Rattus norvegicus: one gene and its partner. Each later gene encodes a partner of the first gene's protein in a complex. Links are inferred from orthologs where the notes say so. Each region holds a gene or a part of one and is shown in the gene's direction. Other genes may lie near its edges.

Region 1 (16,007 bases):
AAAAAAAAAAAATGGATTTGCCATAATTAAGTGCTATAACATTTATGCCAGAATATAAAATATTAACGTATTTTACGCCAGACAATAAAACTCACTTTTTAGGGAATGAGGAGTAAAGTAACCTTGTGACCATGAAGACATGAGTTCGGTCCCCACAGTTTGTATAAAAGCTAGGTGTGGTGACACATGCTTGTAATCTCAGCACTGTGGTGGAGGAGCAAAGATGGGTAGATCCTTGGAACTTGACTGTCGTCCAGCCCAGCTTACTTGGCAAGCTCAGGTGAGTGGAGAAAGAATCGTCTTACTGTTCTATTGCTGTGAGAAGTCGCCATGACCAAAGCTTAGGAAGCATGTAATAGGGGCTTGCTTACAGTTTCAGAGTGAGTCCATGGCCATCATGGTGGGGAACACAGCAACAGTCAGGCATCAGAGCAGTAGCCAAGAGCTTACATCTTATCCATAGGCAGCAGGTCTAGGGAAGGTGGCAGGGAGGAGGGGACAGAGACAGAGAGATAGAGACTAGGCCTGACGTGGGCTTTTGAAACCCCCAATAAGGACACACCTCCTTCTCAAAACAGTTCTGTCAACTAGGGACCAAGCATTCAAATAAATGAGCCAGTGGTGGCCATTCTCATTCAAACCACCACAACACCCAAAGAAGGCCTCTGCCCTCCATACATGTGCACCATATATATTTTTTTTAAACTTTAATTGGGATAATTCAGTGACTCAAGATGCTTGCCTCCAAGCCATTCTAACTGTGTTTGATCCCAGAACCTACATGGTAAAAGAACAGAACTGACTCCCACATGTGCCTCCCTAATATACAAATAAATAAATGTAATTTTTTTGAGACAGGATTTCTCTGTATAGCCCTCACTGTCCTGGAACTCACTCTGTAACTGTAAACCAGGCTGGCCCTCAAACTCACAAAGATCTGCCCGCATCTGCCTCCTGAGTGCTGGGATTAAAGGCATGAGCCACCACCACCCAGCATAAAATAAAATTATTACATTTATTTAAAAACTAAGCTTTTTCTTTTTTAAGTGCAGGGGTAAATCCAGCCCTGGGACAAGCAGGCCACCTTTAGAATCTTGGTTCTTGCTCAGCTGGGAGGGGGAATCTAGCTAGATCCTTTGGGGATAGTTGGTAATGTTTGTAGACATTTTTTATTTTCACACTGGGGGAAGGATATGAGGGAAGATGCTGCTGGCATCTAGTAAGTGGCAGCCATGGCCACTGCTCCAAATTTACCTTTCCCAGGACAGCCCTGAGAGCACAGTACCCCAGCCACAGTGTCCCCACGGGAATAGCTATGCATCGCTCGCCTCCCTGGACAGTCCAGCAAGCTCACTTGTTTGCAGTGCTGGAATGAACAGGGTGCTGGGGGTATGGCTCAGCTGCAGAAGGCTCAAGCTCCTTGTCCTTTTAGACTTAAAAAACCATTATGTCACTTGTGCTGGCAGTGCTTGGGAGTCTGAAGCAATTTGAGGCCAGCGTGGATCACACAGTTGAAAAAGCCAAACTTCATTTTGAAATAATTTGGGGGTTACTGATAAGTCTCAGAAATAGTTTAAGGAACCCTATCTTTTCTTCTCTAGCTTCCCCTAGTGTTAGTATCTAACAGAATATAAGAACAGTGGTCAAACTATTAAGAACAGGAAACCAACCTCATTATAGTGCTACTTTAATCCTCTGCTGTGTATAGCTGGTCTCACTCAGGACTCCTACCCGTAACAGACTACACGATGCCCAAGTGCCTTACATAGAATAGAACACTGGAGTGTTTGCGCAGCATCTACGAGTAACTCAATCCCTGAATGACTAAGAGTACTGAGCAGGATATAAATGATATGTAAATTACTGTATTACTTGGGGAGGTGGCCAGGAAATGTCTCTACATGGTTAATATAGGTGTAGTTTTTCTCCATCTCTGGTTGGTCAAACCTGAAAATGAGGAACCCACAGCTTCAGAAAAGTCTGCACACTCAAATCCTGGGGGGAGCAGGGGTTCTCCCACCCAAACCTCCTTCCCATGTGCGTGTGCGTGTGCGTATATGTGAATGTCTTAGCGGATATTCATATTGAGGCCAGATGGCAGCATCAAGTGTCTTTCTCAATAGCTCTCCACTTTACTTTTGAGACAGGGTCTCTCACTGAACCTGTAGTTTCTCAGTTCAGTACAGCTGTTTTCATCTCTATCCACCTCTGAAAACTGGAGTTATAGACAGAGACGTGATTAGCTTGGCTTTTATGTGGGTACTGGGTATCTAAACTCAAGTCCTTACATTTGCTGACAGTCATCTCCCCAACCCCTGTGGTTTTTTTTGTTCTTGTTGTTGTTGTTTTTGTTTTTTGTTTTTTTCTTTTTTTTCGGAGCTGGGCACCGAACCCAGGGCTTTGCGCTTGCTAGGCAAGCGCTCTACTACTGAGCTAAATCCCCAACCCCAACCTCTGTGTTTTTACTGAATACAAGCACCTTATACCACACATGCTGACTTACCAATTCTGGGTTGTTTTGTTGTTGCTATGGTCATTGTTGGATGGTTGGTTTTTGGTTTTTGAATCAAAATTTCACTGTGTAGCCATGGCTGTCCTGGAACTTGCTCTGTAGACCAGGCTGGCTTAGAACTCAGAGATCTACCTGCCTCTGCCTCTCGAGTGCTGGGATTAAAGGATTGTACCACCACCACATGCTTTAATTGTTTTTAAGTTTTTAAGTCCCCACAATGGGCTCTGCTTATTAACAAACAATGTAAAATTTCTTCCCTTGAGAACCCACGAGTGTAGCTGAGTGGTGGGACATTTGTCTGGTATGTGTAAGAAAGGCCCTGGTAGCAAATAAAAAAAGAAACCTTTTTCTTCATTTGAATAATAAACACAGCTCAGTTAGTAGAATGCTTGTGTAACATACATGAAGCTCTATGTTCTAGCTCCAGTACCACATAAACCAGAAGGGGTAACGGACAGCTGTAACCTCAGCGCTGGGGACCTGGAGGCAGAAGGATCAGAAGTTCAAGACCATCCTGAGCTACATAGTGAGTTTCTGGCCAGATTAGCTGCCAGGTTCTACCATCCCCCAAAGAAAGAAAATAAAACTTCCCAGGTAAAAAACAAACACTTAAAGCATGCACACACCAGAGGAGGAGGAGGAATTCCCTGGAGTTGGAATTACAGGCAGCTGACATGGGTGCTGAAAACCCAACCCAGGCACCTCTTGGAAAAGAGCAGAAGCGTTCTATCTCCTCATCCTATGTTTTTTGTAGGTTGGTTGGTTTGTCTGTTTATTATTATTATTATTGTTGTTATTATTATTATTACTATTACTACTACTACTACTACTATTTATGTAGTGTAGTCTATATGAGCGCTTGTACTAGAATTATAGGCCTGTTGATCGCAGTGGCTTTGAAACATCCAGTCTTCCATGAAGTACTGCAGCTTCCCTGTTACTAAGGTAAGGTATCTGAAACTTAAAAGCACTGTCTTGGGGCTGGGGATTTAGCTCAGTGGTAGAGCGCTTACCTAGGAAGCGCAAGGCCCTGGGTTCGGTCCCCAGCTCCGAAAAAAAAAAAAAAAAAGAAAGCACTGTCTTTCCTTGGGGGGTGGCTAAACATACATTCATTCATTCATTCTTCCTTCCTTTCTTTCTTTCTTTCTTTCTTTCTTTCTTTCTTTCTTTCTTTCTTTCTTTCTTTCTGAGACAAGATCTTACTGTGTAGCTCACTGGTCCTCTATATACAGACTCTGCAGGCCTCGCTTACCTCTGGTATGTCACCACCCCTGGCCATGAGGGAGGAATTAAGAATTGTACTCATTTTTCCCTCGGTGAGACAAAAGTGATTAACAGCTCATACTTGTTTTATGCAGAGGGCCCAGGTCACTTGGAGGCACAGAGATTTCTCTGACTTTCAAGGAAAAAACTGAGGACAGCTGGGATCATGGCATGAGGACCATGGCAGGTCACCTCTCTTGGCCTTGGACTGCATCCCTAGGGACCTTTTTCTGTGTGTCCCCCCCTCCCCCGATGGGTCGGACAAGTAGGAAGAAGGTGGCCCTTTGCTTCCTGCATCTCCAGTTTTTGGTGTGGAACATGAGGTTCTGCCTTACTTGATTTGAATCAGTCCTGTGAGGGACAGGTCATAGAAAGTACTGTCGACGGCTGTCGATGCTTTGGTACAAATGTCCATTGAATCAATCTCAGGCAACCGACCGAGCAAGGCTATTATTTTGTCTTTTGTGGCAGAGTGAGAGGCAGAAGCATAGACATCCTCAAGAACGTCCTGGGCCACAGTGCTGTTTAGAGCAGGCACCTATGGGAGGGGGGCCTGGCATCAGTGTGAGCAGAAGATGGAGACCCAGGAGCACTGGACACCTGCAGGATCTTAGTGAGGTCAACGTATGTTATGAGACAGCTCAACAAGTGCACAGCACCAGAGGAGCAGAAAAGAAAGAACTGGAGGACTGGGACATAGCTTAGCAACAGAACACTTTAACATGTCAGGGTCTTTAGTTCCATCCTAGCACTGTTGTGTGGTTCTGTGTTCATGTCTGTGCATGCAGGTATAGTGCATGTGCATTATGGGTGTGCCTATGCATACATGCATGTAGGTAGGTATAGTGCATATGCATTATGGGTGTGCCTATGCATACATGCATGTAGGTAGGTATAGTGCATGTGCATTATGGGTGTGCCTATGCATACATGCATGTAGGTAGGTATAGTGCATGTGCATTATGGGTGTGCCTATGCATACATGCATGTAGGTATGGTGCATGTGCATTATGGGTGTGCCTATGCATACATGCATGTAGGTATGGTGCATGTGCATTATGGGTGTGCCTATGCATACATGCATGTAGGTATGGTGCATGTGCATTATGGGTGTGCCTATGCATACATGCATGTAGGTATAGTGCATGTGCATTATGGGTGTGCCTATGCATACGTGCATGTAGGTATAGTACATGTCATTTATGGGTGACTATGTATACAGAGGCCAGAGCAATGTCAGGTGTCTTCCTCAGTCACTCTCCACTTTATTTTCTGAGTCAGGGTCTCTCTCACTGCCCCAGAGGTCACCAGTTGGGCCGTCGTGCTCCAGGGATTTGCCTTTCTCCAGCCCTCCAGAGCTGGGTCACAGATGGATGCCACCATCCCTGGCTCTTACATTTGTATTGTGTATTGTTTTTCTATTTTGTTCTACTTGTCTGGAAGAAGCCCAAGATACAGTAGGTACTCTATGAATGTGTAAAGGACTCTTGAATGTGTAGGCTCTGGAATTGAACCAGATCTTGTTCTTGGTTGCTTAGCCACAGCTTTCTTGCCTGGAAAATGTCACCACAGGTTGTATGTGATGGTGTCCTCATCATCCCTGTACTTGGCAAACTGAAGTAAAAAGAGTTACCAGATCAGGGCCAGCCTGGGCTACAGAACCTGACCTTTTCTGAGGACATGAGGAAGGATGGCATAATGGAAGCACTTCGCCTCTAAGTCTCTTCATAACACACCAGATCTTAGGAGTGTGTGTGTAACTTATTGGAATGTGCATTTGCTGTGTTCACTGAACACAGGCTTAGAATGGGGCTGGGTCTGAGAGCCCAGCCATGATTGATGGCATCTGTGCAAGTGAGTATCCTTCCTTCAGAAAATGGATATTCAAGCCAGGGCTGGTGGCACAGGCCTACACTCTATAAAGAAAGAGACTGTGAGCTAAATCTTGCCTGGGCTATAGAGAGAGTGCAAAGTCAGCCTAGGCAACTGTAAGACCCTACCTCAAGAATGTAAACAGAAGTAGCTCCTTGGTAGACTCTTGCTTACCTAACCTATGTGAGGCCCTGCATTCAACCTTCAATACTGAGCTGGGGGCAAAAGGCGAGTGTGTGTGTGTGTGTGTGTGTGTGTGTGTGTGTGTGTACACAAACACACCTAGTTGTGTGATGTCCTATACATTCATTCTCCAGTACTGGCAGGGAGAATTGTATTTATGTCTACACATGACACACATAATACTGGGTGTGGTGGCATATGCCTGTAATCATAGCTACTTTGAAAGGGTGAGGCAAGGGGATCACTCCTTAAAGGGAAGGAAGAAAATATTTCATAAGTAGTTTTAGGCTGCCAAGGACAGTAAGGACAACTCCTGTTTCACTGAGTGACAGGGAAGAGCTGACAAGACATAAGAGACCAAGAGGCCTCCTATACCTTTGGTCCTACTTTTTCTAAGATATACTCTGCAGTTGTCTAGGGCAGCTTGTGGACTCCAGGTTTCATTGTCTATGCCTGATGAGGATATGTTCTAAAAGCTTAGTTTTTTAAAACAGGATCTCATGTAATCCAGGCTAGTCTCATACTTGAAATCTCTCTACTTCAGTTTCCCAGGTGCTGGAACTGAAGGCGTGCACCACCACACCGGTGGGCTTCTGTGTGTTTCGTTATCACTTTGGATCACTGAACATCAGAGCGGTTCTGTACATTCCTCTATCAAAACAGAGGAAGACACAAAAGAACAAACTCTCTTCACATGCAGCTCAGTTGTAGGGAGAAGGGAGATGACTAATGCCTCAGAAACTAGCAGAACCACTGTCATGTGAAAAGGAAAGCCATGATAAGAAGTAGAGGCTCATGGGGACCTCGTCTATGGCTCCAGCTGCCATACGTCTCCCAGGGGAAAGATGGCTTGGTCCCACTTGTCCCATGTGGCTTGGAGTTAAACTGCTTCAAGATTCAATCTCAGGACTGGAGGATTCTCTGTTCTTCCAGAGGACCTGGGTTCAATCTCCATTTCCCACATATGGTTCACAAGTGTCTGTAATTCCAGAAGATGTTCTCTTCTGGCCCCTTCAGGTTCCACACTTGAACACAGATATGCATGTAGATGAAATACCCATTCACATAAAGTAAAATAAAAAAAATACAACCTATTCTATCTCAGTCATAGCCAAACTATGGATCAAGCCAGGGCACTGGCTCTGTTGCTGAAGCACACAGGAGCTGGCACACTTGGAATCCCAACACTGGGGAGGCAGAGACAGAACATTTCCTGGGTTGCTGGCATTTAGCCAGCCTAGCCTTCTTGATAAAATTTCAGGGCCCAGTGAGAATCTCTGTCTCAAACAATAAGCTGAGTGACCCCCTAAAAAATTATACTATGTTCATACAAAGTCCTTCAATTAGCTTCCAAAATGCAGGTCACCTGTCCTTGTATTTTGGAGGCTGAGGCAGCAGGATGGAAAGTTCATAGCCACTCTGGGCTACAGGGTAAGAGCCCATCTTAACAGAAAAGAAAAAAAAAATCTAATTGTATGGCCATATGAGGAAATGGGCCCTGCATCTTGAGTGGGGCTCTCTCCCATCTTCCCACCACGGTAAGCATCAGAACTGGCCTTCTTGCCCTCATCATAGACCCACTCACCTAGTCCAGCTGTGGTCCTGTTCTGCTATGCTGACAGCTATGCTAAGCCTGCTTGAGTCCCTGCCCCTTACTTCCCTCTCTAAACCAGGGGGCAGCCTCCATCCCTCAAAGCCTTCTAAGAACCCACGGCTGAGAGACCCCCGTGGAAGCCCCCAGAGGTCCATGACGGTCCATTCACACCACTCCAGAGAGTCAGAAGACAGCTCAGAACCTGCTCCTTCTGTAGAGCCAGCTGGGGAGGAACCACAACCGGCAGCTTCCAGGTAGGTAGCTCAGAACTCTCCAGCAGGCTCGTCCCTCTTCAGTCATTCACAGCAAGCCCAAGGGAACGACAAGTGGTCCGAGATGACCAGCCACCACTGCAACCCTTTCTGGGGCCTTGGCTCAGGTCTTTATCTCATGGTTCTTTTCACTGGAGAAAGGTCACAGATAACATCAATTCCATCTCAGTCTCAACCACACTACTGGAAGAAGTTGGGAAGATAGTTCAGGTGGTAAGGAACTTGTGCAAAGACCTAAGTTGCCCATGGGAAAAGTCTCAGTGGTGGTGTGGTGTGCTCCTGTAATTCCAAGGCTGGGGCTAGGACAGCTGGGTCCCTGAGGCTCAGTGCCAGCAGTCCAGCCTAATTGATGAGCTCCAGGCCAGTGAGAAACTGTCTCAAGATGTTTTGAGGATGACACCTTAGGTTGTCCTTTGGATTCTACATGCATGTGTGCACACATATGTACACACATGTATAAGAAAATCAGGCCAGTCATAATGACATATGCCTTTAATCCCCTGGGAAGCTGAGGCAGATAGATATCTGTTAGTCTGAGGCCAGCTGTGTTACATAGTGAGACCTTATCACCAAAAGGAAGGAAGGAAGGAAAGTGAACTAGGAGAAACAAAATGACTGGTAGCTGACATCTTTGGGGAAGATATTGTGGCCTAGGTGATCACATTTACTGAATTATAGGTACCGAGGCATGTGCTCACTCCCCACAGCTGCTCTGCATGTGTGTCTGTCTGATTTCACATCACAACAATCTTGCTAACAGTGGCACCCATGAAGCCACAAATATTGGTTCCTCAGACTTGTGTAAGCCACATGTCACCTAAGCCTTCCTCCCAGAAAAGCACAGAAATGCAATCCTCTACTCACTTCTAGGCCAGTAGGGATGGCACTGCTGTGTGGCCTCCCAGTCTACAAAGACCAGAGGAGTTGGGAGAAGGATTCTACCTATCCTTTTTTATTTTTAAAGATTTATTTATTTATTATGTATGAGTGCATGTAGCTGTCTTCAGACACACCAGAAGAGGGCATCGGATCCCATTACAGATGGTTGCGAGACACCATGTGGTTGCTGGGATTTGAACTTAGGACCTCTGGAAGAGCAGTCGGTGCTCTTAACCACTGAGCCATCTCTTCCAGCCCAGATTCTACCTATTTTGAGTTTTTTTTTTTTTTCCGGAGCTGGGGACCGAACCCAGGGCCTTGCGCTTCCTAGGGAAGCGCTCTACTGCTGAGCTAAATCCCCAACCCCGAGCTATTTTTTAAAATACATATTTCCCTAAGAAATACCTATATACAGCAACAGTCACAGAAAAGAAAGTCAATATAAAACATAACTTACAATGTGGGGGGAAGCTTGTCAGTGTCCAGAGCCACCCAAATGACTGCAGTGTGCAACTGCAGGGCGGGATAGAGTTCTGAATGGGAACTGTTGAGCATGACAGTTCTCCTGGACTACCCCGCACCTTCATTCCTTCTGAGACACGGTCTTACAACATAACCCTGGCTGGCCTGGAACTTGCTGTGTAGACTAGGTAGGCTTTGAACTCACAGAGATCTACCTGCCTCTGCTTTCTTCGTATTGGGGTTAGAAGTGCACACCACCATGCCTGGTTAAGATTTTCTTTCTTTTTCCTCCCTCCCTCCTTTCCTTCCCTTCTTTTTTAGTGTGTATGGATGTGAAAGGAGGTCAGAGACATAACCTAGGGTGTCTGTTGGTCCTACTTTGCTTGCTTGAGGCAGGTTATGCACAGACCAGCTGCTCACAAGCTTTCAGGGGTTCTCCTGCCTTTTCCTCCTTACATCTCCTCATAGGGGTGCTGGGATTACAGGTGGCTGCACCTCTCCCCCAGTGTTTATTCAGGCCTTACACATGTCTGACAAGGGCTTTTACCCGCTGAGCTGTCTTCTCAGATTTTTTTTTAATTGTTAATATTGTGCTTTGTATATTGATCTTGTGTCTTTGTAAATCTCACCCTTTCAAAGCAGGTAATCTGGAGCCTAGTGGTAAAGCACTTGCCAAGCAGGTGCCAGGCCCTGGGTTCTATCCTCAGCCCCATGGGAGAGAACAAGGAATTGATGTGAAAGGACTCTCAGGGCCTCCCTTGAAGATTCAGAGTCACTTTTCATCTAGGTTCTTATCCCTCTTTATCCTTTGAGTGTGAGAGAGAGAAGGTATGCATGGGTGTGCTGTGGTACACGTGTGTGTGTGTGTGTGTGTGTCTGTGTGTGTGTGTGTCTGTGTGTGTGTGCACATGTGTGTGTGCGCCCCTATGTGTGTGTCTGTGTGTGTGTGCACATGTGTGTCTGTGTGTGTGTGTATGCGTGCGTGTTGGGGATAGAGCTCAGAGCCTCACATACTATGTTCCTCCCCTCCTGGAGCTGCACCCCTGACCACCCTCTGTCTTGCTATGTAAATGATATCTGGAAGGACTTCAGTCCTTCTCTGCTTCTTTCCACTCAGCTGCCCAGTGGAGGACACAGGAGCTGCCTCTGACCTCCCAGGATCACCAAAAGAGCTGGTCCCCCTGCCTCCTTCCCAGGTGAGCCTCCTGTTTTAAGTTCTATATCCTGTTCATGGCCAGCAGCACCTTATTGCCCACAGGGCCGCAGAGACATGCAGGAGTAAAGATAACAGTTGTCTGTGAGCCTACAAGAATTTGAGAAACAGAGGCAGGTGAACCTCTGAGTTCAAGGCCAGCCTTGACTAAACAGTGAATTCTAGACTAGTCTGGGCTACAGAGTAAGACCTTGTCTCAAGAAACAGGGTAAGGAGCTAGGCGGTGGGGGTATATATCTTTAATCTCTGCACTCAGCAAGAAGAGAGGCAAGAGGATCTCTGTGAGTTCGAGGACAACCTGGTCTACAGAACTGCTAGTTCTGTAGGGCTACACAGAGAAAACTTTGTCTCAAAAAAACCCAATCAATCAACCAATCAATCAATCAATAGTGAATGAATGAATGAAACAGGGTAAGGTTGGAGATGTAGGTAAGGGATGTACAGTTGGGATGTAGCTCAGTTGGTGGAATGCTCGCCCTAACATGCAATGAAGACCTGGGTCTAACCCCAAGGCTGCATAAAACAGGTATGATGTTACCTTACCTGTAATTCTAGTACTTCAGAGGTGAGTATAGGAGGACCAGAAGTAGAAGGAATTCAAAGTCAACTTCAGCTATACATCAAGATCAAGGCCAGCCTAAGCTATATGAAATCTCATTTCAAAACCAGAAATCCAGGGGTGGTGGGAAACCTTAAAGTAAGCAAGAGCTGAGCATGGTGACACATACCTTTAGTCCCAGCATTCAGGAGGTAGAGGCAGCCTGGTCTACATAGTGAGCTCCAAGACAGCCAGAGCTACATAGATAGACCTAGTCTGAAGAAAAAGCCAAAGTAAGGGCCAGTTTGGTCTGTACCCGAGAGGGAAATGCTTCCTAGCAGGCAGGGAAGTGCCATCCCTAGGCTGGTCTTTCTGAGACCCTGTCCTTTCATATCATTGCTTTGTTCTTATGTCCCTTTTACAGAGCTCAGTGGGGAGGTTTGTCCCTCAGTTTGCCAAACCAAGGAAGACAGTAACTAGAAAAACCAAGGCATGGGAAGAGGATCCAGAGAGCTGCACCACAAGCCAGGTAAGAGCCTTCCCTAGGTTGGCTGCTCCTGCTGATCGACCTTGGTCTTCCTGGAGTTCTCCAGCTATCTGTCTGGGGGGTACTACTTGTCAACCATCACATCTAAGGTCACTGAGGGCACCGTGACATGCAGTTTGCATGGAAATAGTCAGTTCAGAAAGGAAGGCCTGCTCCCAGAGCCTCCTCTGCTTCTTGGGGCTTCTGTGCAAGTCAGGAGCCGTGTAAAAAAATATGAGGGCTGGAAAGATGGTTCACCAGTTAAAAGCACTGGCTGCTTTTCCAGAGAATCTAGATTCAATTCCCAGCACCTGCATGATAGCTCACAATGATCTGTAACTCTGGTTCCAGAGGACATGATGCCCTCTTTGACCTCCAGGGCACCAGATATGAAAGTGGTGCACATACAGCGGTGCAGGGAAAATCTCTGTATCATACACATAAAATAAAACGTGTGTGTGTGTGTTGTGCATGTGGAAGAAAGCAACTCTGTGTAGTCTGTTCTCTTCATCAGCTGGATTCCAAGGATCAAACTCAGGCCATTAGGCTTGACAAAGTGCCACCTATACCATCGAGCCATCTCACTGGCTCTGGTACGTCTGTAAGTGGACAAGCAGCTGGCAAGATGGATTAGCTGGTAAAGGCACATGTCACCAGATCTGACAATCTGAGGACTCTCCTAGGAGGAGAGACTCCCACAAGTTGTCCTCTGACTTCCATATGTACACCATGGCACATATGTGTGTGTACCAGCATGCGCACATACATACTTACACAACAAAGATAACACAGTAAGCTGATGAGGTGTACCATTGGGTAGCAGAGCCTTTAACCCTTCACTGACTCTGGCGTGGGTATAGAACTCAGGACCTTGTGCAGCTAGGCAAATGTCCTATTATGGAGTCACCCCACAGCCTACCACCTGGAATGTTATACTCTGAGATTCTGAGTGCTTGGTGCTGGCAGGGAGGTTCCCATAAAAGGAGGGGTGTGTGTACCTCCTGTCCTCCTGCCTTAGCACAAAGCTCTGCCTAAAGCAGCTTCCACAGCCCTGTGGTACCCAGTGGTGGGTACAACTATCTGATCTTGAGGACAGGGTCCTCAACTGGAAATGTTCTTCAGAGTGCTTGCTTATCTACGTCCAGGGCTGAATCTTCTATTTCCACAGGAAACAACGCCAGAGCTAGGTGCCCTAGAAGCAGCCAGCCAACCACAGAGAGAGTCCCTGAGGTTCCCTCTCCATGATGCCAGAAGACCAGAAGACCAGACACAGCCAGATGGTACCCTCTCAAAGGAGAGGACCAGCTCACTAGATACTGGAAGCTTGGAGAACAATGGTTTTGAGATGGCCACAGTTCAAGACAGTAGTAGCCAGGGAAGAACCCTGTCGGCTGCTGCTGCTGAAGGCAGGGAGGCAGATAGCAGCACCCCACAGGAAGGAGGTACCCAAGGAGGGGAAGCAGAGGCCCAGCATTCTGGGGAACCCCAGGAAGGAGAAGACATCCTCTACACTTCAGCATTAGTTCCTGCCTCAGATCCTACCATACCATGCCTAGAGACCTGGTCTGTGGCTCAAGACCTCTCTGTCCCCACACACATTCTTCACAGCACAGCTGCAGCACCCAGCTTCGGTAGCCCAGCGGGTGCCTCTCTTATGGACAGCGTCATTACAGAAGTGAGCTTAGATCTCTCTGTGCTGCAACACAGTGCACTAGAGGTGGGCAGCCTGCTGGGCTCTCCAGATGGGCAGATCCCTGATGGAGGCTGCAGTGGGACTCTTGCTGAGGAGACCCCAGCAGGCAGCAAGGAGACCAGATGGAAAGAGAAGTCCCCTGGTGATGAGACCCTGGCAAACATCACTGAGACTGCAGTACCTGTGAAACAAGAGCCCATGGTGGAAGCTGGAGATTCCAGCCATATAGCCCAGGAAATGGGTCCTGCCGTCAAGACCAAGGACCCTGGCTCTGATGGACAGCTGCCAGGGGATATAGGAATGCTGCCTTTACCAGCACAGCCCATGGATGAAAAGGTGGTGGAGTTAAGTGGCCTAACTTATGATCAAGACTTGGAGGGCCTCAGTCTGTACCCTCATACCCCCTCTCAGCTAGAGCACACTTGTCTAGCTAGTGACCCTCCCCAGAGCTCCAAGGCCTGTCACAGCAGCCCAGACATTCCTGTACACCCAGCAGGGAAGCAGCAGCCAGCTCCCAGTCTCAGAGACCAGGCTGCATGGCAGGAGTCCTCTGCAATGGAACTAGACTTCCTGCCTGACAGCCAGATACAGGATGCCCTGGATGCCACCAACATGGAGCAGGTAAGAGCTCTGTACTCAGCGCACCCTGGCACCATTAGGTAGCAAGATGGGGCTAATGTGTCTGACACTGTTTACACAACATAGGTGTCTAAGGAGGGGGGTGGGGGGATCACAGCAGCTTTGGGCAAGGTAGAGCCTGGTGCACCTATGCCTCCCGGAGTCTAAAGCTGCTCTGCCTTGGGATAGGGAGCTGGGTGGCTACGAGAGCATTCTCCCAAAGAGCCAAAATTTCACACTGCGCCACAACCTGCCGTTGAGATACCTATTAGTCCATTTTGACTCTTTGAGGGGAGCTTTTCTTTTTTTAAATTTTTATTAGATATATTTCTTTACTTACATTTCAAAGGTTATTCCCCTTGAGGGAAGCTTTTCATTAGACAGAACCCCTCAATGCAAGCAAAGAATTTTACCTAGTGTTCAATCCAAGAAATAGGCAACCGTGCTTTAAGACCCTGGGTTCCGTCCTGGCACCAAAAGGACGAAGGAAAAACACACTTTTCCATCCTTGTTGGGGAACTGCTGGACTATACTTCCCAGGACAGTGGACCTGAGGTATAGCACAGTGTGATTTGTCTTAGCACTGTGAGAGGCCTGTGTTCTATCCCATCTTTGTAAATAAACCTATCAGGATCACAGGAACCTAGCACAGCCTGTGTCATACTCAACAGGCAGCACCAGCCTGGGAGCTGTTAGCTTTGACATCAGGTATCCCTGAACAAGTCAGGTGACCTAGCCACTGAGCGTGTTCTCAGGGGAAGGCAATTCAGGAAGACCGTCCAGCTAGATGGCAGAGGCTGCATCTCCCAACATAGGGACACCTACGATCAGAACAGGGGTCCCTGCTGACCTCACACCCAGCCACACCGCAGTCTCAGAAAGACATGCCGTTCAGTCGCCCTGCAGTGACAGTCTGACTTGTACAGTGCTCTCCTACCAGGAACTTTTCCCCACACTTCAGTGTGTTGGTTTGAAGCTCGTGCAGCTGGCATGGCTGAGTGGCATGAGTGGGGCCCTGGGCTCTATCCCTAGTACTTGAGGAAAGAGATTCTTTGGTCCCGCCTAGAGTTTTGGCTGAGGTTTCCAGGGCTTCCAGTGCCATAGCCCCTTCTGTCAAAGGCAGTACCCCATGGGCCTGGTAGAGATGTGGTCCCTTTGAGGGGAGATTCTCCTCCCCACAGCTAAGCAATGTAGTGTGATAGGCAAATGTTGAACACCAGATTTTATTTTACTTTACATGGGTCTTGCAAGGTTACCCTGGCTGGGCTCAAATGATCCTCCCAGTTCTATACCACCAGTCTAGCCAGTCTCTTCAGGAATTCCCACGCCAGACTTTTTCCCGTATTGGACACTTAGGCCTTAGGCAGGCAACATCACCTCCTTTCAGCTGCTGTCACCTGGGTCTCACTTTGCAGGCCACACTGATCTCAAACCCCCAGTGTTCTCCTAGTCTCCCAGGCACCAGTGTTCTGTGTGTCCTGGCTCTAGGGTCTTAAAGGAGGCAGGATCTCAGACTTAGTGATGAGACTCACACAGGGTATCCTGAAACAGGAGGCTGGCCCCAAATTCACAAGCATCAGTCTTGTTCCAGACCCTCAAGTTGCTAGAATTACAGATGAGCACTGCCTTGCCTGGTCTTATTTCTTGTTTTGTTTTGTTTTGTTTTGTTTTGTTTTTTCAAGGTCTCAGTACATTATATAGTCTTGGCTGTCCTAGAACTCGTGTGTAAATCAGACTGTCCTTGAACTCACAGATCTGCCTACCTCTGCCTCACAAGTGCTGGAATTAGAGGCATACACCATTGCACCTAGCTTTGCTCCAGGAGCTTTAAAATACTTTGAGACACTTCCATAGTGATCAGGATAAAACACATTAGTGTATCCCACAATGCACATCGGCCTGTTGCAAGGACAAGGAAGAGGACAGCAGAGCAGCTGTGCTTGGAGCCCTTTGCTGGCATCATGCTGCTTTTGGAGAAGTTCAGCTAAGGAGAAGTCTTGGGTGCTGTGGATGTTTCCCTCTGCCAGGCTGGGTGATTCATATACTGAACCTACTCCTTCCAGGGCTTTCCTTCAGGGAATATGTCAGACCCTGGCTGGCCTGTCCCTAGCTCATATGCCATCGGAGGATCCCCAAAGGCGGTGGCCAAACCTCAGCCCAGGTAGGCTTTCCAGTCTTCAATCCGGAATGGGAGCTTGCCCTGTCTTTCAAACTACCATGCACCATATGTCCCTCAAGGGAACTCAGGTGCCCTTGGTTCACACCCAAAGAAGGAAGGGCCTGTCCGTGGGAGCTGAGTCCCTCTAGCACCTTGAACTGTTCTAGCCTCTTTGGACATGGGTATCCTAAGAGGAGGAGCCTGGGTGTTCCTGAGTCACATGA
Region 2 (16,531 bases), on another chromosome or scaffold:
GGTGACTTCAGAAATTACTTTAGATCACTTGGATCAGGCCACACCAAACCATCAGCTAAAACTTATTACAGGGAAATACGTAACACAGACTGGTCTGTGTAATCATATACAATCTGACCTGTACCTCTGAATACTTGTTTATAGAAAACCTAGGGTGCAGAGGAACACATTAAATGAGACTAAAGGGGTGGCATTTTACAAGACAAATGACCTACATTCAGTAAAAAACAGAATGAGGGGGGTGGGGCTGCTAAAAATTAAGTCTGCACATATACCAGCCACAGGAGTCTTGTTTGCATTGACATAAACACATAAAAGATGGGGAGAAAACTCCATGAAGTTGAATAATTTGAATAAATTTAATAATTTCATGACACCAATACCTTTTATTTGTGTGATTTTTCTGAGTCTTGCTATGTAGCCCAGGCTGGTCTCAAATGCTTAAATTTCTCTGCCTCCTCCTGTGATGACAGGCGCAGACCCCTGGGCCTGACTAAGATCTTTTTTATGGTGTAAGGAGATGCTGTGGTTGTCAGAAGAATCCTTATGTTTGGGGACTACATGCTGTGAGGTGAATGGAAGTGACACATCAGATGGCCAGTCAAGTGCTGAGCCACCACAGCTATAAAAAGAGGGTGCTCTTCATGGAACGCTACGGCCATTAGTGAACCACAGCACAGAGGATTAAAGTCTTGGTTCCACATGAGGCCAGGGCCGGGCACGTCAGGTCTTGTCTGCTAGCTGCACTGTTAGTCCCTTCAGGGCTAACTGTAGGAGTTCAGGGTAAGGTTGTCGAGGGAGGACTGCCAACAATGAGGGCTCAGGCTAAGTCAGAGACAGGGCAACTAACCTCCTCACACAGTATCATCCAGGCTCTGCGGACATCCGTCTTGCTCAGGCTTGGCACACAAGTCTTTCTAGTCACACAGGGGGAGAGCAAAAGAATGGGGACTACCAGTGGGACAAAGAGAAACTGCGGTTCAGCTGTCATGCAGGGGCATCTCTGTGCCTTTAAAATCTGTGGCATAGATGCTGAGTGGACTGTGACCGGCTAAAACCGTCCTACCCGCCTTCCAAGTATGTCTCGAACTCTCATTCCCACCCCAGGCCAAATACTGCACAATGAAAATACAGCTTGCAAAACATTCAAAAATTTCAAGTCAGTAGTAAAAGCTCTCTGAATGCACTGCAAAACTAACTCAAATTAAACACGCAATGAATCCAAGGTGTTGCTGGCGGTGCTAGACCATGTATGTGTGTACGTGGCCCCAGTTCTGAACACACAACATGCCCATTTTGTACTTTGTATGACACCATGGCACAATGCCAGTGAACACCGCCTACAACACCTGACCTCAGATTCTTGACAACCGTAGGTGACAAACTATAGCCTTGTACTCTATACACGTGTTCTCTGCCTTTAGACAAGTGTAGTGGTTTAATTACTGAAAACTGAAGACTTCACTGTTTCTGTATTGTTCCTTCACAGCACGCTCCAAAATGGCAAGGCGGTGGTGGTAGCACACACCTTAATCATAGCACTAGTGGGCTGCAGGCAGGTGGGTCTCTGTGAATTAGACGCCAGGCTGGTCTATAGAGAGAATTTCAGGACAGCAAAGTCTCTCTACTATGTAGCTCTGGTAGTCCTAGAATTCGCTAGGTAGTCTAGGCTGGCCTTGAACTCAGAGATCCACCTGCTTCTGCCTCTGGATTATTATTATTATTATTGTTGTTGTTGTTGTTGATGATGCATACTGTTCTCCTTTTCAATACGTGGCAAGAGTATGTATGTGCCAGAAGTTTTTTTTTTTTTTTTCAAAGATTTATTTATTTATTATATATAAGTACACTGTAGCTGTCTTCAGATACACCAGAAGAGGGCATCAGATCTCTTTACAGATGGTTGTGAGCCACCATGTGGTTGCTGGGAATTGAACTCATGACCTCTGGAAGAGCAGTCGGGTGCTCTTAACTGCTGAGCCATCTCTCCAGCCCCGCCAGAAGTTTTAAAAATAAAATTCTCTGACGTAATCATTAGCAAATGTTTTGTTTACAAGTGAATAAATCTGTATACTATCAGGCCAAAGGGGTGGTGATTAAAAAAAACTGTAAGAAGCCCCAGACTGTTCAAGTCCCCCATTCTAAAAATTTACTTCCAAAATACATATAAAAACCCCATTTTTACCTAAGAGTTTAGTTGGTAAAAACAGGAACAGATTTTTAAAGAACTTAAAGAAGTCTGGAGAAACACTGAGTACCTGATCCCTTTTACTCACTGAGGAAAGTATCTGCAGTAGCTTTATTTGCTAACTGCTTTCAAAGCTCTTTTCTTCTTGGCAACAACTTTGTGAGGCACTGGGAATGAACACAGGGTCCTGGGTACTCCAGGCAAACGCTCTATTGCTAAGTCTCTCCTCCTCTGCCCTTTATTTTGGGATGGTCTTTCTGTGTAGCCCAGGCTGACCTGGAACTTACAATCTTGCCCCAGCCTCCCAAGCTCAAGTCACTAGTGTGACTACCATACTTGTCCAGGAAAAAACTTTTTTTTTTGGGGGGGGGGGAAGGTTTCACCATGTATCTTTGTCTAGCCTGGAACTCACTATGTAGACCAGGCTGCCCTTAAACTCAGCAATATACACCAGCTTCTACTTCCTGAGTGCTGGGGTTGAAAGTGAGTGCCTGGGTGGGGACGAATTTACATGTTCTATGACCTACTTTCTGACAGACAACAGCTCAGATTTAGCTAGCCTAAAAACAATGTCAAGGATATTAAAGGTGTGAAGACACAGGACATACCATTGTTTTGAAATGACAACATCCAATAGCAACCCTCTCCACGGAATGAACACAGGAGCCATTCTGGATGGGGCTGTGCATACTCCAGACATGCACACCTCCCCCCTTTATAACTCTCTGATGGAGAACCCTAATGCCGCCAGCAGCAAAGGCACTTACTTCCACAACAGCTACAATGACTAAGCCACCACCAACCACAAATTCAGTCACCTTCTACGCCACCAAAAGGAGGCTGGGGCTTGGCAGAGAAGGTGCTGGCCACACAAACCTGGTGGCCAGATCTCCAGCTTTTGAACCCCCGTGAAAACCAAAGGAGAGAACTGACTGACATTTCCAAACATGTGGTGTGTTCTATCTCCTCCCACATCATGTGTGTGTGAGCACACACGCAAACTATTACTAATAAAAACAATGACACAAACGGAATTGCCACAGGGTTGATGCTAGGATACACCATAGCTTTATGGTAGGTGTTAAATGTTTAAGGCTGAGAAATGCTAAGACAGGCAGGGACTGCCTGCTTGGCTCACTGCTGTACTCTCTACACCAACAACAGTGTACACAAGAGGACATGGTGCTTTTTGTTTGCTGCATTTATGAAAGGCTATACCAGGACTCATGAGCCACCATGAACTAAAATGCCGAGACTGTTTCTTGACAGCAAAGACCACAGACCTATCTATTTATGCTGCTGACAGACAGTAAGGCAGTAAGTCAACAGTAAGTCTTCAGTGAGACGAAAATGTCAGATTTCCCAACAAGTAAGGTTACAAAACAAACTGAGTTTGTCAAGGAGATGCAAGCTTGTGATTCTATTATGATGGGGCCTTGCAGTGCCAGACACTTTGGTTTTCCTGTCCCATGGTTATTATTTTTAAATGTTTTCTTCTCTTTTCCGTTCTATGTGCATTGGTGTTTGACTGCACGTATGTATGTGTGAGGGTGTTGGGTCTCTTGAAACTGGCAGCTGTGTGTGGTTGCTGGGAATTGAACCCAGGTCTGGAAGAGCAGCCAGTGCTCCTTCTCTGCAGCCCCGTTGGGCCATGATCATTAAGACATTTACCCTGCAGTTTTTACTTATTTGCATGGCACACATGTATAGGTTGGAAGTCGGTGCTAGGTATTTTCTTCCCTAGCTCTCCAGCTAATTTTCTGAGACAGATTATCGTATCAATCTGGCTACCCCAGGATTTACACTGGCTTTCATGAGTAAACGCCTGAACTCAGGTCCTCACGGGTACATGACAAGCATGTTACCGAGGGAGCCATTTTCCTAGCCCCGCAGTTATTTTTCATTTATTTCACGCATACTTATTTCACATGTACACCATGTGTGTCTGTGGTGACTGTAGACTGTTGAGGTTAGAAGACCGTGTCAGAGGCTCTGACACTAGAGTAATGGATGGTTATGAGCCACCACACGGGTGCCAGGAATGGAATGCCAATTCTCTGCAGGAGCGAATGTTCTAACCTGCTGAGCCATCTCTCCAGTCCCTCTACAGTCCACAGTTATTTTATTTTTCTGAAGGCCTACGATATCCCACAAACTGGCCACGATGATGAATAGGGGAAAAAGATAAGTCATCAGGAAGTACCCTGGGGTATTGGGCCTGTTCTCTTTTTTTTTGGGACGGGGGTGGGGGGGCTGTTCTCAAAGGGTTCTGAGAAGCATGCTCTCAGGCTGTCTCCAGTCCAGGTGTACTGTACTTTGCTTTTGTCTCCTGAAGGCTCTCCTAAGGCTCCATATTTTCACCTATGGCTTAGAGGACAAAGGGAAGCTTACAGTGCCTGTGGGGGAAAGGATACAAACCACAGAGTTCATACAAACAAAGCTATCTGCACATAGCTGAGGACAAGGTCATCCGTTCTCAGTATAGCTAGTAGAGACCACTCCTGGCTCTGGGAAATCCTTTCTCAGAACAAATAGCTTTTCCTTCCCTCTGTATCTAAGCACTATCAGAGGGGCACAGATTTTATAATTTTAGGGGTGACAGGGTGGTGGGAGAGATCATAAAGGAGGATTTCTCTCAGAAGTGATACTGCTAGGGCAAAATTCTTTGTAGAACAAGCCTGAATGCAAGGGGGGAGGAGGCAAGAAGAGTGTGAGTGGTGTGCTCAGCCACAGGGGTTTAACGGACTACTGAGGAATTAGAAGAGCAGGTGAGGACACCAGGTCTGTCAGACTGTGGCCTTCAAGGGAAGCAGTGGGAAGATGAGATTTGCTTTAAGAAAATGACCTGGGCTGTTTGTGGAGGGCAGACTAAAGAGGCACAATGGAAGCCTGGGGCAAATGCCTTTAACCCCAGCACTCAGGAGACAGAGGGAGGTGGACCTCTGAGAGTTTGAGGCCAGCTTGGTCTCCAGAACAACCAGAGCTATAACACTGAGAAATCCTGTCTCAAAAAACCAAAACCAAACAAACCAGGCAATGGGGGCTCACAACTTTAAGCCCAGCACTTGGCAGGCAATCTGAGTTCGAGGCCAGCCTGGTCTAGAGAGTGAGTTCCAGGAAAGCCAGGGATACAGAGAGACCCTGTCTGGGGTCGGGTCGGGGCGGCGGCGGCGGGGGGTGGGGGGGACCCAAGTAAACAAAAGGCACAACAGAGTTAAGGGAACGGATGGACCAGAAATCTAGGTAAAATAAAGGAACTTCTGGTTAAGGCAGAGTAATTCAAGTTAACTGAGAAGGACAGAAGGATAGTGTGTGTGTGTGTGTGTGTGTGTGTGTGTGTGTGTGTGTGTATGTAAGATGGTGGTGAGAAAATGTGGGAAGAATGAGCAGCTGAGGAGGAGGAGCAGCAGGAGAGAACAGGTGTTTGGAGGGAGGAGCAGATGCCATTGTTGGTACTGAGGCACTCATGGGACAGCCAGGTGGAGTACCAGGCTAGTGACACTAATCTGAGCGGAGGATAGCCAAGGTCCACCTGGGCCAGTAAGTTAGGTTTAGGGACCACCAGCACACGTATATAGGAAAATTGACAATATGAGAGGAAACTGAATTTCTGGGGCAATCCTTAACAGGGCTGGGGTGGGGGTGGGGATGGGAAATGCAGCTGCCAAGGCGGCTCAGCTCGGTAAACCTCACTACCTAAATCTGACCTCTGGATTCCACAGTGGAAACATAACTTTTGGAACTTAAAAACTTGGGGTTGGGGATTTGGCTCAGTGGTAGAGCGCTTACCTAGGAAGCGCAAGGTCCTGGGCTCGGTCCCCAGCCCCAGAAAAAAAAAAAAAACTTTTAGTTTTTATCAGACGTCTCAAAAAGTCTCCTTTCTTGGCAATAAGGTCTTGCTTGCTCTGTGACCCTGGCTGCCCTTAGCCTCACGATGCTGGAATTAATGGTATGTACTGCCACCTGGGACTGATTTCAATCAAAAACCATTTAAAAAAAAAGATTTAGTTTAGGTATGAGTAAGTAGGTAGTTTAGTGGGAGGTTTGCCTGCTTCTATGTTTATGCACCACGTGCATGCCTGGTGTTGGTAGAGGTCAGAGGGGGTGACTCCTTTCCAGGAAAAGGGTTCTGAGCTGCCATGTGGGTACTGGGACTTGAACGGCTGAGCAATCTCTCAGGCCCCCCAGACTTCAATTTTAATCAGATTTAGCAACCCGTAACTCAAACTTTAGCCAACTGGCTGCAACCTGAAACCTTCACAGTATGCTGCAGTCTAGACTTTGCGAATTCATTCAGGAGTTAACAGAATCTATTCTGGGTCACTTAAAATAAATCTTTGCAATGCATTCCACGGCAGTTAAAATCCAACCTCCCCTCCCTTTCCCCAAAGCCAGCGAAGTGACCACATTGCCCCCAGGTTCAATTTTATCTCAACACGCCCTGCGCGCCAACTTACAGATAGATTTCTCTGGCTCAGGGCACACTTAGCGTTCTTGCGTCTGCCTGCCTGGCTTCCTCCTGTCAAAATCTCAACAGAGCACAGGTGGCTTCCTTTAGAAGGACTTTCTCCTGCACTTTTCCACGCTACTGATATACATTCCCGCATTCACACGTGCTCCACTACACTGCCATCAGTTCTACCACCACACTGCCAGAGTTCTTCTCAGGGCTAACTCTCTAACGCACCCCAGCGCCTACAGGTACTATCCATGGAACACAAACAAGAAACACAAACGAGCCTCGGCGAACTGGGCCAGCGGTGAGCTGGGACTAGCGGTCAGGAGCTCTGCCGCACAGCCCGTAGCAGCCGCACCCGTGCCCACTGGCGCGACCCTCGCCGCGCGCAGCGGCGCGGACCCAGGCCCGCACCTGTGTCGCTCTGCGTCCTTGCGCTGAGATACTGCCGCAGTTTCCTCACGGCGCGGTCGCGGACGCCCTTCTCACTGGAGGCCAGCCGCTGTGCGAACTGGAGCTCGGTAGACTGCATGGCGGGAGCCATCGCACCCGCTTCAGCATCCCCGGGCTGCGCGCGTGCGGCTAGCCGCCGAGCGATCTGGATTGCGCCTGCGCAGGCGCCGCGGCGCGTGGGTGATGGCGTCACCGGTGCGCCGCTTGCCGCGCGCCCAGGGAGTCCGCGTGGCCCCTGTGCGAGTAGATACGTAGCCCCGCTACTGAAGTATATCCTGTGGGTGGTCCAAGTTCTGGGCGGGTAGTTAGGGTCAGATCTCCTCCGGCAGGACGACTACGGCTAACCTGATGCAGTTCTAGAGTCTAACCACAGCTAACAAAGGTCTGTCAGGGAAGCGGCGGTCCTGCCACCTCCATTCACCCGGTGTCTGTGAACTCCGCGGGCTTCCCTGAGCAGACTTGAGACCCAGAAGGAAGGCCATTATCCTGGCATCCCGAGGCTTACAACAGCACAGGGACAACTTCCACTCTCCCACCCTTCAGCGCCCCGTTCCCCTCAGGACAGTGCCTTGAGTCTTGATGCAGGCACGCAGCATTATAGAGGGAATGGGCCCTCTTCCAATGTGCTGGGACGAGTGCAGAGGGGGCGAGGAGACCCTTGCAGCGTTCTAGGACAGGTTCGGGATTTGGAGAAGAGAGAGAAACCCGTCCCTGAAGCAACAAGGGCACTTACAGAGGTGCGGTGTAGTGAACAATCCGTTCCTGCAGCGAGCAAGCCTCCCTGTCGCATCTTGGGACGGGTGCAAACTTGTTGAATGGGGAGTCAGCAAACCCATACCCACAACGACTGGGTCAGACGCAGGGATGTCCATTGGAGAGGGAAAAATTTTGAGGGTCTAACAGGGAGGGAGCTTGGCTCTGTCTTTAAGACCTCTTGCATTCAAAACACACAGTTCTGAGCAGTAGGTAGTGAGTATTGCTACAGTGAAACACCAGGATCAAAAAGCAAGCTGGGGAGGACTCCCATTTCCGTATTACTGTTCACCATGAAAGGAAGCCAGGACCAGATCTCAAACAGGACCTCAAAGAAGACAGGAACCTGGAGGCGGGAGCTGATGCAGAAGCCATGGAGGGATGTTGCTTACGGCCTTGCTCTTTGGTCAGCCTGCTTTCTTATAGAACCCAGGACCACCAGCCCAGGGCTGACTCTACCTACAACAGGTGGGGTCCTTCCCCATCAATCATTAACTAAGAAAATGCCTTACAGGTCTGCCTACAATCTGATTTTATAGAGACTTTTTTTTTTTTTTATTGAGATTCCCTCCTCTCATGGCTTTAACTTGTGTCAAGTTGACAAAACCAGAACGAGCAGGGAACACACTAAACCAATATGAAAGAAGTCTTTTAACAGTTATGCTTACTTTAGGGACATCCAAAACTCTAGGTCATCAAACATTTGAGAATTATTAGATTAGTATATTCTTCCAAGCTTTAGTTATTTCATTTTGAACCCCGCTCCCCCACCCATGTAGCCCAGGCTAGATTTCCCTTGCTGTGTAGCAAGTTGGTCTTGAACTCCAGCGTCCACCACCCAAGTGCTGGGACATAGGCATGTACCACTACATCTAGTTTCAAACCTCAGTTACCTAGCTAAAATAACTCTTCTGTGCATGCGAAAATGCATCCCTTAACACAGAAGCACTTGGCCAAGGGACGACGAGGTTCTCCCTGTGCGGTTTTTCAGTTTGTAGGTTTGGTTCTAGCATCCTCTCCGTAAACAGGGAAGGACGGATTCTGTTTGACACTCAGGCCTCATTTTGCAGGTCACAAGTCTGAAACACTGAAGGAGAAGAGCCGCAGTAGAGTCTGGTTCCTTCTCATCCCTGGGTCCAGGGGCCGAGAGTGAAGCGCAAATTTGGCGAGATTTGAACCTCGCGGCTTTCCGTATGGTCGGGCATCTTCAGATTCCCGCACTTTTTTTGCGCGTGTTAGAGAGCTCTGCGCAGGCGCACAAAGCTGAGGCCTTGGCTATGGCTGCGATCGTGGGCGAGCGTTCCGGTACTGAGGAGGCCTGCCGGGTCAGTGTGTGCCCCACATATGGGAGCTACTGGTGTTTACTTCCCTCAGGGTGACTCCTGTGCCTGAGAAGATGTCCCTGTAGCCTTGAAGGGGCCAGGCCGGGAGCCGCGCAAGGGTGGGCCAGACCAGAGACACGAGGCGCGGTTCCAAGTCATCTGTGGAGGCCTTCAAGTTAAAAAGTGGTAGCTCAGGTTTTAGGCTGTGAGGCTCTGGGGAACCAGAGCCGTGCACTTATCTGGGTTCTGCCTCTGGTGTCCCTTCACGAGAGGGCCTGGTTGACGCCTACTTCCAGTGGGACGCCATTGTATAGTAGCATGAATGTTTGGGGACAGCAGAGGCCAAAAGCAGCCGCAGGGATCCCATCCTGGAGGAGTTCAGTTTGGGGCACATTAACTTGCGGGCATTTTCTTTGGCTTTTAGAAATGTATATTTGGTTTTTCCTCTTAAGTGTTTCCATTCCCTCTTCCGCTATATTCGTTCTTACTGAATCAGAATTTTGGTGTGTTGCTCAGGCTGGTCTCCCAACGCTTGGGCAAAGCCATATTTCGGCCTCAGTCTCTTGAGAAGCTAGGACTATGGGTGTGGATTACCACCCTCATCCACCGCCGGCAAGGCTCTCTGTATATAAAGCCCACGTATACACAAACACACTCACGAATACACATCTATATCCATATATGTGTAACAGAAGGGACATCAGATGCCAGGGGTGGTGGAAGAGGCCTGTAATCCAGAACTAGGGAGGCAGAGGCAGGCCCACTGCCTAGTCTGCAGAATTCCAGAACAGCCAGGGCTACACAGTGAGACCCGCCCTCTCAAAAAGCAAATCAAAGCTCCAGTGCGCGCGCGCTTTGGAACACACACACACACACACACACACACACACACACACACACACAGACACACACACAGACACACACGAACATGATGTAAACACATTTGTGAGGCAGTTATGAATGTAAGAGTCTGGAAAGAAAAGGAAAGTTGATTTGGGTTGCTAGTTCTAGTCATCTGAAGAGAAATGCTACAATGCTAAGACCTGCTTGTTCCTTTAGCACATGGAATCTAAGGAAGAATTCGTTAAAGTCAGAAAGAAGGACCTGGAGCGGCTGACGACGGAAGTGATGCAAATCCGGGACTTCTTACCCAGAATACTAAATGGGGAGTTACTGGAAAGCTTCCAGAAGTTGAAGATTGTAGAAAAAAGTGAGTTTTCCCTCATGTGTGCCCTCTTGTCTTTAGGTGGGTAGGGGGCGCCAGCTTTCAGTGTTGAGCTAAGTCCAGGATTGCTAGGACTTGTCTATCCAGATGTTTGACATTTGAACAATGTATCAAATACCAGTCGGGACCCTGTTATTATTATTATTTTTTTGGGGGGGGGGAGGTACTTGGAGCTTGCAAAAGCACTTTCCCAATTGGGACTGGACTGCAATCCAATCAGCTTTTCGGTGGGTAAGGCTAATTTCTCAAGTCACATCGGACCGCCAGCCCTCATAGTGTGCGCCCCAGAGGCCCAAGTAATGTCTTGAGCTGTAAGTCCAAATAAGGAAGTGTCTTATTTTTCCCCAGTAATTTATTTATTCACTTTACGTCCCGATTGCAGCCCCTCCCCCACACCAGTGTGGTGTCGTCCTGTCATCCCGAAGGTGTCCTCAGCTGCCCCCACCTCCTTCCCCACCAAGAAAGTGTCTTGACTGAGGAATGTAGGTTTCCGAGCCAGTCTCGATGGTGCCCGTGCCTGTAATCCAGTACTTAGGTGGTGGAGGTATAAGGACCGGGAGTTCAGGATCATTTTCCCCTATGTACCAAGTTCAAGCCTCACCTGAGAGCTGTGAAACAGGCAGCACAGTGATCTCAGAAGGGGAGGACAATCAGGCCACATAAGTTGTAAGCTAGAAGGGATCGGAATGTGGGTTTCTAGTTTGTACACGTGTACTTTGCCAGTTAGCCAGCCCTATTCAGTTAGAAGGGTGAAGCAGTTAGAAGTTTGTGAGACTCCAGTTCCAGGGCATCCATTATCCTCACACAGACACGCCTACAGGCAAAATGCCAATGTGTGTGAACTTAAAAATTAAAAAAAAAGAAAGGAGTAAACGGTTAATGGTTACACGGAGCCCTGTCCTATTCTGTCAGGAGTTTTCTCAGCCATTAACTTCTGCCTTGTACTGTATTCTGGGAGGTAGACCCCCTACAGACTAGAATTGGAAGGCCTCTCTGAGCAAAGAGAGAGGGACTGGGTGGGAGGGGTGCTGGCCTGCCCTCTGCCCCTCTTGTTACTCCGGTGTTTGGGTGGCATTGCTCCACAAGTGCCCTCCCAGTGGCCTCCTCCACAGTCTACCTCTTACTGGGCTTCAATAACACACTCTCCCTTTGAGAGGGCCATCACCATTCCCTGGCTATGTCACTATCTTCGTGGGGGGCCTTACTCCTCCTGTCGCCGGTTATTGACTTTCTAACCACTTCATTCTGATCTCATGCTCAGCTGGCAAGTTTTGAGAGCAATTAGCGTCAGTGCATTTATTTCCAGAAAAGGAAAATGCTGCCTGGTAACAGAGTGCATTAGCCTGCTGGCTGATTGTTTCACTGTAAAGCCACGAACCGGTGGTCTGCGAAAACGTATCAGGATCTCATTTGTCAGAGATTAGACGCCAGTCTCCTTCCCAGGGCAGGCTAGAGGCCACACATGAATCTGGTAACTTGATAAAGTCAGACTGTAGGGGCTGTTCACTTGAGGTTCGTGGCCTTCCCGGGCTGTGTGTCCCTTCCCCATCTATCTCTGCGATGTCCTCTTGGTCACCTTTGCCTATTCACCTTTCTCAAGACTAGCAGTTCTCATCCTTCCTAACGCTGCGACCCTTTGACACAGTTCCTCATGTCGTGGTGACCCCCAAACTTAAAATAGTTTCGTTGCCACTTCATAACTATGATTTTGCTGCTGTTATGGATCGTAATGCAAATACCTTTGTTTTCTGATCGTCTTAGGTGACCCCTGTGAAAGGGTCTTTTGATCCCCAGCCCTCAAGAGGTTGTGACCCACAGGTTGAAAACTGCTACTCAGAAGCCCTTAGACAGTGCAGGTGCCCGAGGCCCAGCCTAGTCCTTCCTATTTCATCGTAGCCTCCCCAAGGCAGTCTCGTGCACACAGACAGCCTTAGTCCTTTTGATGTGAGTGGCTGCTGGACGTATCTCTGTAGCCAGCATCCGCCTTTCCCTGACTCCCACTTGGCATCTTTTCTCACTTGATCATTTGGACTCTAAGTGCCCATGCTAAGCTTATCAGGGACAGGTGTGTGTCTGACTAGATCAGGTTTACGTCTCTCTGAGGCGTGCATGACCACAGGTACAGAGGAATGGGAGGCACTTCACCGGGCCCTGGGGACAGGCTTGGACTTAGGCGGTGTGGGAATGAAGCAGTGTTTTATGTTGGAGATGGCTTCCTATATCCTGGGATAACCTCGAATTCTCTGTGCAGCCCAGGCTGGCCTCAAACAGTAGACATTCCTGCTTCAGCCCCCTAAGTCCTTAAGCGCTGTTTCGACGGCTCAGAGCAAGGTGGAGCTTTGTGTAAAGAGGCAACTAGAGGCTGAGTGCGAAGCGGACCCGGGTCTTGTTTGCTCATAAACAGTGATGCTCAAATAAATGTAGAACACTGTGTAGACGGACCTTGCCCACTGTGTGGACGGACCTTGCCCGCACCTTTGAGGCTATCGGGAAGCCAGGCTGTGTTTGTGTGTCACTCTTCAGGCCAGGTCAGGTTTCTCCTTCTGAAAGTGGGGGAGCGGGCTGGAGAGATGGCTCAGAGGGTAAGAGCACTGACTGCTCTTCCAGAGGTCCTGAGTTCAATTCCCAGCAACCACATGGTGGCTCACAACCATCTGTGATGGGATCTGATGCCCTCTTCTGGTGTGTCTGAAGACAGCTATGGTGTACTCATATACATAAAATAAATAAAAGATCTTTTGAAAGTGGGGGAGCTTTGGAAAGGAATTCGATGACTGCGAAGTGACATCGTGACACGTTCCCATTAATGGGAGACATAACGTTTCCTGTTTACTTGGCAGCTGGCTCTATCTGGGCCTGCTACTGTAGCCCGACAAGTGGCAGGGCACCCTTCCACTTAGCAAGATCATTTTTACTTTCTTCTGCCTGACTCCTACTGATTCCCTTCTGCTGCTTCTCCCTGGCCTGCCTTGGAGCTGTACCGCCAGTGAGCTCGGGAGATGCTTTCTGACTTTATCAGCCTGTCGTCATCTCTGCTGTTTTGGTGGGGCCCTTGTGCCTGCCTCCTCTAGGCCGTGTCTACTGTCCCCAGCCTGGTCATCTTTGCCTGATTCTATCATTCTACCACTGGAGCGAAGCTGTTACAATAGCTGCTCCTTGTCCGTAGGACAAAGGGCAGCTAGCAAACGGTGAAGCCTTTGTACTGACGGGTAAGCCTTGCCTAGAGTAGCTCTGACTACCCAGACACGAGCCCTGTTTAGGCATTAGGCACACCTCGTGTCCTTTGCTTCCTGGGAGGTCACTGTAAACTTTCAACTTAGGCCCTCCCTGACTACCTCCGCTTTTCTGGGCAAGGCAAGGTTGAAGAGATGGCCTTCTACAGCGCCTTTATCTACTTTTTGCTCTTGAATTCTCTCTCTCTCTCTCTCTCTCTCTCTCTCTCTCTCTCTTTTTTTTTTTTTTTTGTGACAGGGTCTCACTTGGTAGCCCTGCCTGTCCTGGGATTCTCTATGTAGATCAGGCTGGCCTTTCACTCACAGAGATCCCCCTGCCTCTGCCTCCCAAGGGCCCGAGTGGGTGAGCTAGGTATCAGATAGCATGCCGAACTTGATTCTGAGCTAGCATGAGACCTGCCTCTGAGAAGCTGGGCAGGTAAGCAGTGCCTTGTCTAAGTGTCTTTTAAAGAGGCAACACTGAGGAAAAGGCACACTTTCTTTTTTTTTTTTAAGTATTATTATGATTTTATATGTCTGAGTATGTAGCCTGAATGCATGTATGTGTGCCATGCCTGAGGAACTTAGAAGGGCGTGTCGGATCCTCTGTTACTAGACTTACTGACAGTTGTGAACTGCTATATAGGTGCTGGGAATTGAACCCAGGTCCTCCGAAAGAGCTGCTCTCTATCCCCCGCAGAGCACTGTTTATTTTAAGGAGGAGAAGGAAAGACACGTGACAGTCACAAAGGGAGTAAGTAAGGATGGTCGTTTGGATTTGTCAGGTGGCTTTCCTGCTTGCGCAGGACTTGTGGCCAGCAGAAGAAAGGCAGTAAAGGTGGGATGTTCACGGCGGACGGGAGGGGATTGGCTGAGGTCAGAGGAGCTTGGAACCCCTAACTGGAGTGATCCTAAAATACAGATCAAGTGGTGTGTATTGGGGGATGGTTTGAATCTGAGGATCCAGAAGAGTTAGAAGGGTTGGTGGGATGGAGAGTATCCCTCAGGGCAACTGCTAGGCTCCACTGGACTTGCTCTGACTGGATGGGTGGGTTCATGAGATGATGGTGAAGGGAAGGATTGTAGGTCAGGATCGGCCATGGTAGAAGTGTGGAGAGGCAGGACATCTGTGACATCTGTGTCCTCCATGTTGGCTAGCATCTCATTGTGTTTTCTGGAACTATAAAGCACTCATCTAAGAGCATTAGAGCACTTGCCTGGCTACATACTGGGCCCCGAGTAAGGTCCTAGGACTCTGTTACTCCCCCCAACCCCCAAGTCTCCAAGGATGTGGCAGGTTTGAGATGACTTAATCATTCTGAATGGTTTGTATGGTACCTGCATTGTAGAATCTTGGAGGAAGTGTTTTTGGAGAGAGCATTCTGGCAGATCCACAGCCCAGCAGCGTCAGTTGTGGCTCAGATGCTATCACACAGTGAACTTGGGAGAGCCTTGACTTGAAGTTTACCAAGTTGGAAAGTGTGTAAATATGAAATACTCCCGTGGACATTGTCAGTGCTCTTCAGTGCTGGGCAGTGCAGGAAGGGAGGAGTCCTGCACGGTTGTTGATCGTGTTGAGGTCTCAGTTGAGACAGGGAGAGGAAGAGCACTGTGGGGCTTTCAGTTATCATCCAAGACCAGCCAGCTAATAGGACAGAGACTGCGACCGAGCCCTTCAGTTTTCTGTAATTATAGTGAGGACGGTAAAGGATTTGCTGCTGGCAGCCGAGTCCTGGGCAGAGCCAGCTTCAAGAAGCAGAGCCTTAAGAGGTTAAGGAGCTTGTTTGGCTGAAGAATGGTCCTCCTCAGTCAGGGAAGGCTGTCCTCTTCAACTGGGTGTTTGGGAAGGGAAGCACAAGGAATGGTGAGGAAGGAGCCTGTCTACCCGGCCTGATAACCCTGTGGAGGCTGGAGTGAAATACCAAGTCCAGATTGTCCTTATATCCCAGAGTCTTGTGACTTGAAAGGGGACAGGATGATCGGGAATTTTAGATTCTGCTAGAACATCTTGTGAGCTTGAGGATCTTGGTCCATGGGGGCCCTCTAGTGGTTACTTGAAAGACAAGTACACCAGATAGTTATAATCTTGGGGCACAATAGGGGTAAAAAAAGACAGAGACAGTGAAAGGGGAGGTGTGTCACAGATGCCACACAACTATAAAAGGCCACCAGAATCCCAAGGGGGTTGGCTGGGGGGAAGCCAAGGCAGCTTTATGAAGGAGTAGACTTAGGGGACAGTTAAAATGCATCCTAGAATTAGTTTATTCAAGAGAAGGAACAGCATTTGGTACGGTAGGCAAATGGATTTCAGTTCAGCATGTTGGGAAATGCAGGTCGTGCAGTGTACAGTCTGCACACTGTAGAAATGAGTTGACTAGACTTAAGCAGTGTTCACCAGGTAAACGAATGTGGTCGTCCTCTGTGGGTCACTGGATTATTCTATGTACCGGAGATACTTAACAGCTCCTCTGGAATAGTGGTCCAGAGCTGGTTCTGAGCCCTTGAGCTTCTGCAACGGCTTGTTTCTGGGAAACTTGTAGGATGCAGAATCATTCTGGAGGTGTCTGTTTGCTGTGGAAAACTATGTCAGTAAAAGTGCCTCACGAAGGGCTGACAGTCTGCACTTGATCTTAGCCAAAAGGCCGAGAAGCGATAGGGCTGACAGTCTGATGAAACCCTGGCAAGTTGCAGAGTATCTGTCAAGAATTTCCCTGAAAAGGTACCTTCAAGTACAGTCCCCAGGTCCTCAGAACGGGACTTTGGAAAAAGGTTTTCACAGGGGTAAAATGAGGCCTGATGGGCTCTAGTCCAGTATGACATTCTTGTCAGGAAAGTTTTAATCGTGGTCACAGTGAGGTCTGTGTGAAGATAGGGGGAGGCCAGTGAGGGGAGAGACCGTGAAGAACAGGCCATGTAGGGTCT

The links.
Region 2: the proteins of Brme1 (region 1) and Hsf2bp are in contact, whole or in part, in a crystal structure (PDB 7Z8Z), measured with the Mus musculus proteins. The link is inferred for Rattus norvegicus from reciprocal best matches to the Homo sapiens genes BRME1 and HSF2BP. Residues at the interface, in NP_083321.2 of Mus musculus: Met541, Gln542, Asp543, Ala544, Thr545, Val548, Arg549, Leu551, Val552, Leu555, Ser556, Asn559, Ile562, Met563, Thr565, His566, Leu569, Lys573; in NP_083178.1 of Mus musculus: Glu23, Phe24, Val25, Lys26, Val27, Arg28, Asp31, Leu32, Arg34, Leu35, Glu38, Val39, Gln41, Ile42, Phe45, Leu46, Arg48, Ile49, Glu53, Leu54.

What each region holds. Positions count from the first base shown.
Region 1 is NC_086037.1:40,896,526-40,912,532, reverse strand, and holds part of Brme1 (break repair meiotic recombinase recruitment factor 1), read left to right. Parts: intron 1-142; exon of another isoform or gene 143-280; intron 281-2,920; exon of another isoform or gene 2,921-2,933; coding exon 2,934-3,038; exon of another isoform or gene 3,039-7,313; coding exon of another isoform or gene 7,314-7,503; coding exon 7,504-7,678; intron 7,679-10,154; coding exon 10,155-10,233; intron 10,234-11,212; coding exon 11,213-11,317; intron 11,318-12,482; coding exon 12,483-13,628; intron 13,629-15,307; coding exon of another isoform or gene 15,308-15,370; exon of another isoform or gene 15,371-15,647; intron 15,648-15,688; coding exon 15,689-15,786; intron 15,787-16,007. UniProt on the Homo sapiens protein: Meiotic recombination factor component of recombination bridges involved in meiotic double-strand break repair.
Region 2 is NC_086038.1:10,113,538-10,130,068, reverse strand, and holds the start of Hsf2bp (heat shock factor 2-binding protein), read left to right. Parts: upstream 1-9,127; coding exon 9,128-9,175; intron 9,176-10,231; coding exon 10,232-10,382; intron 10,383-16,531. Other genes in the region: Rrp1b (ribosomal RNA processing 1B), read right to left, coding at 7,059-7,188. UniProt on the Homo sapiens protein: Meiotic recombination factor component of recombination bridges involved in meiotic double-strand break repair.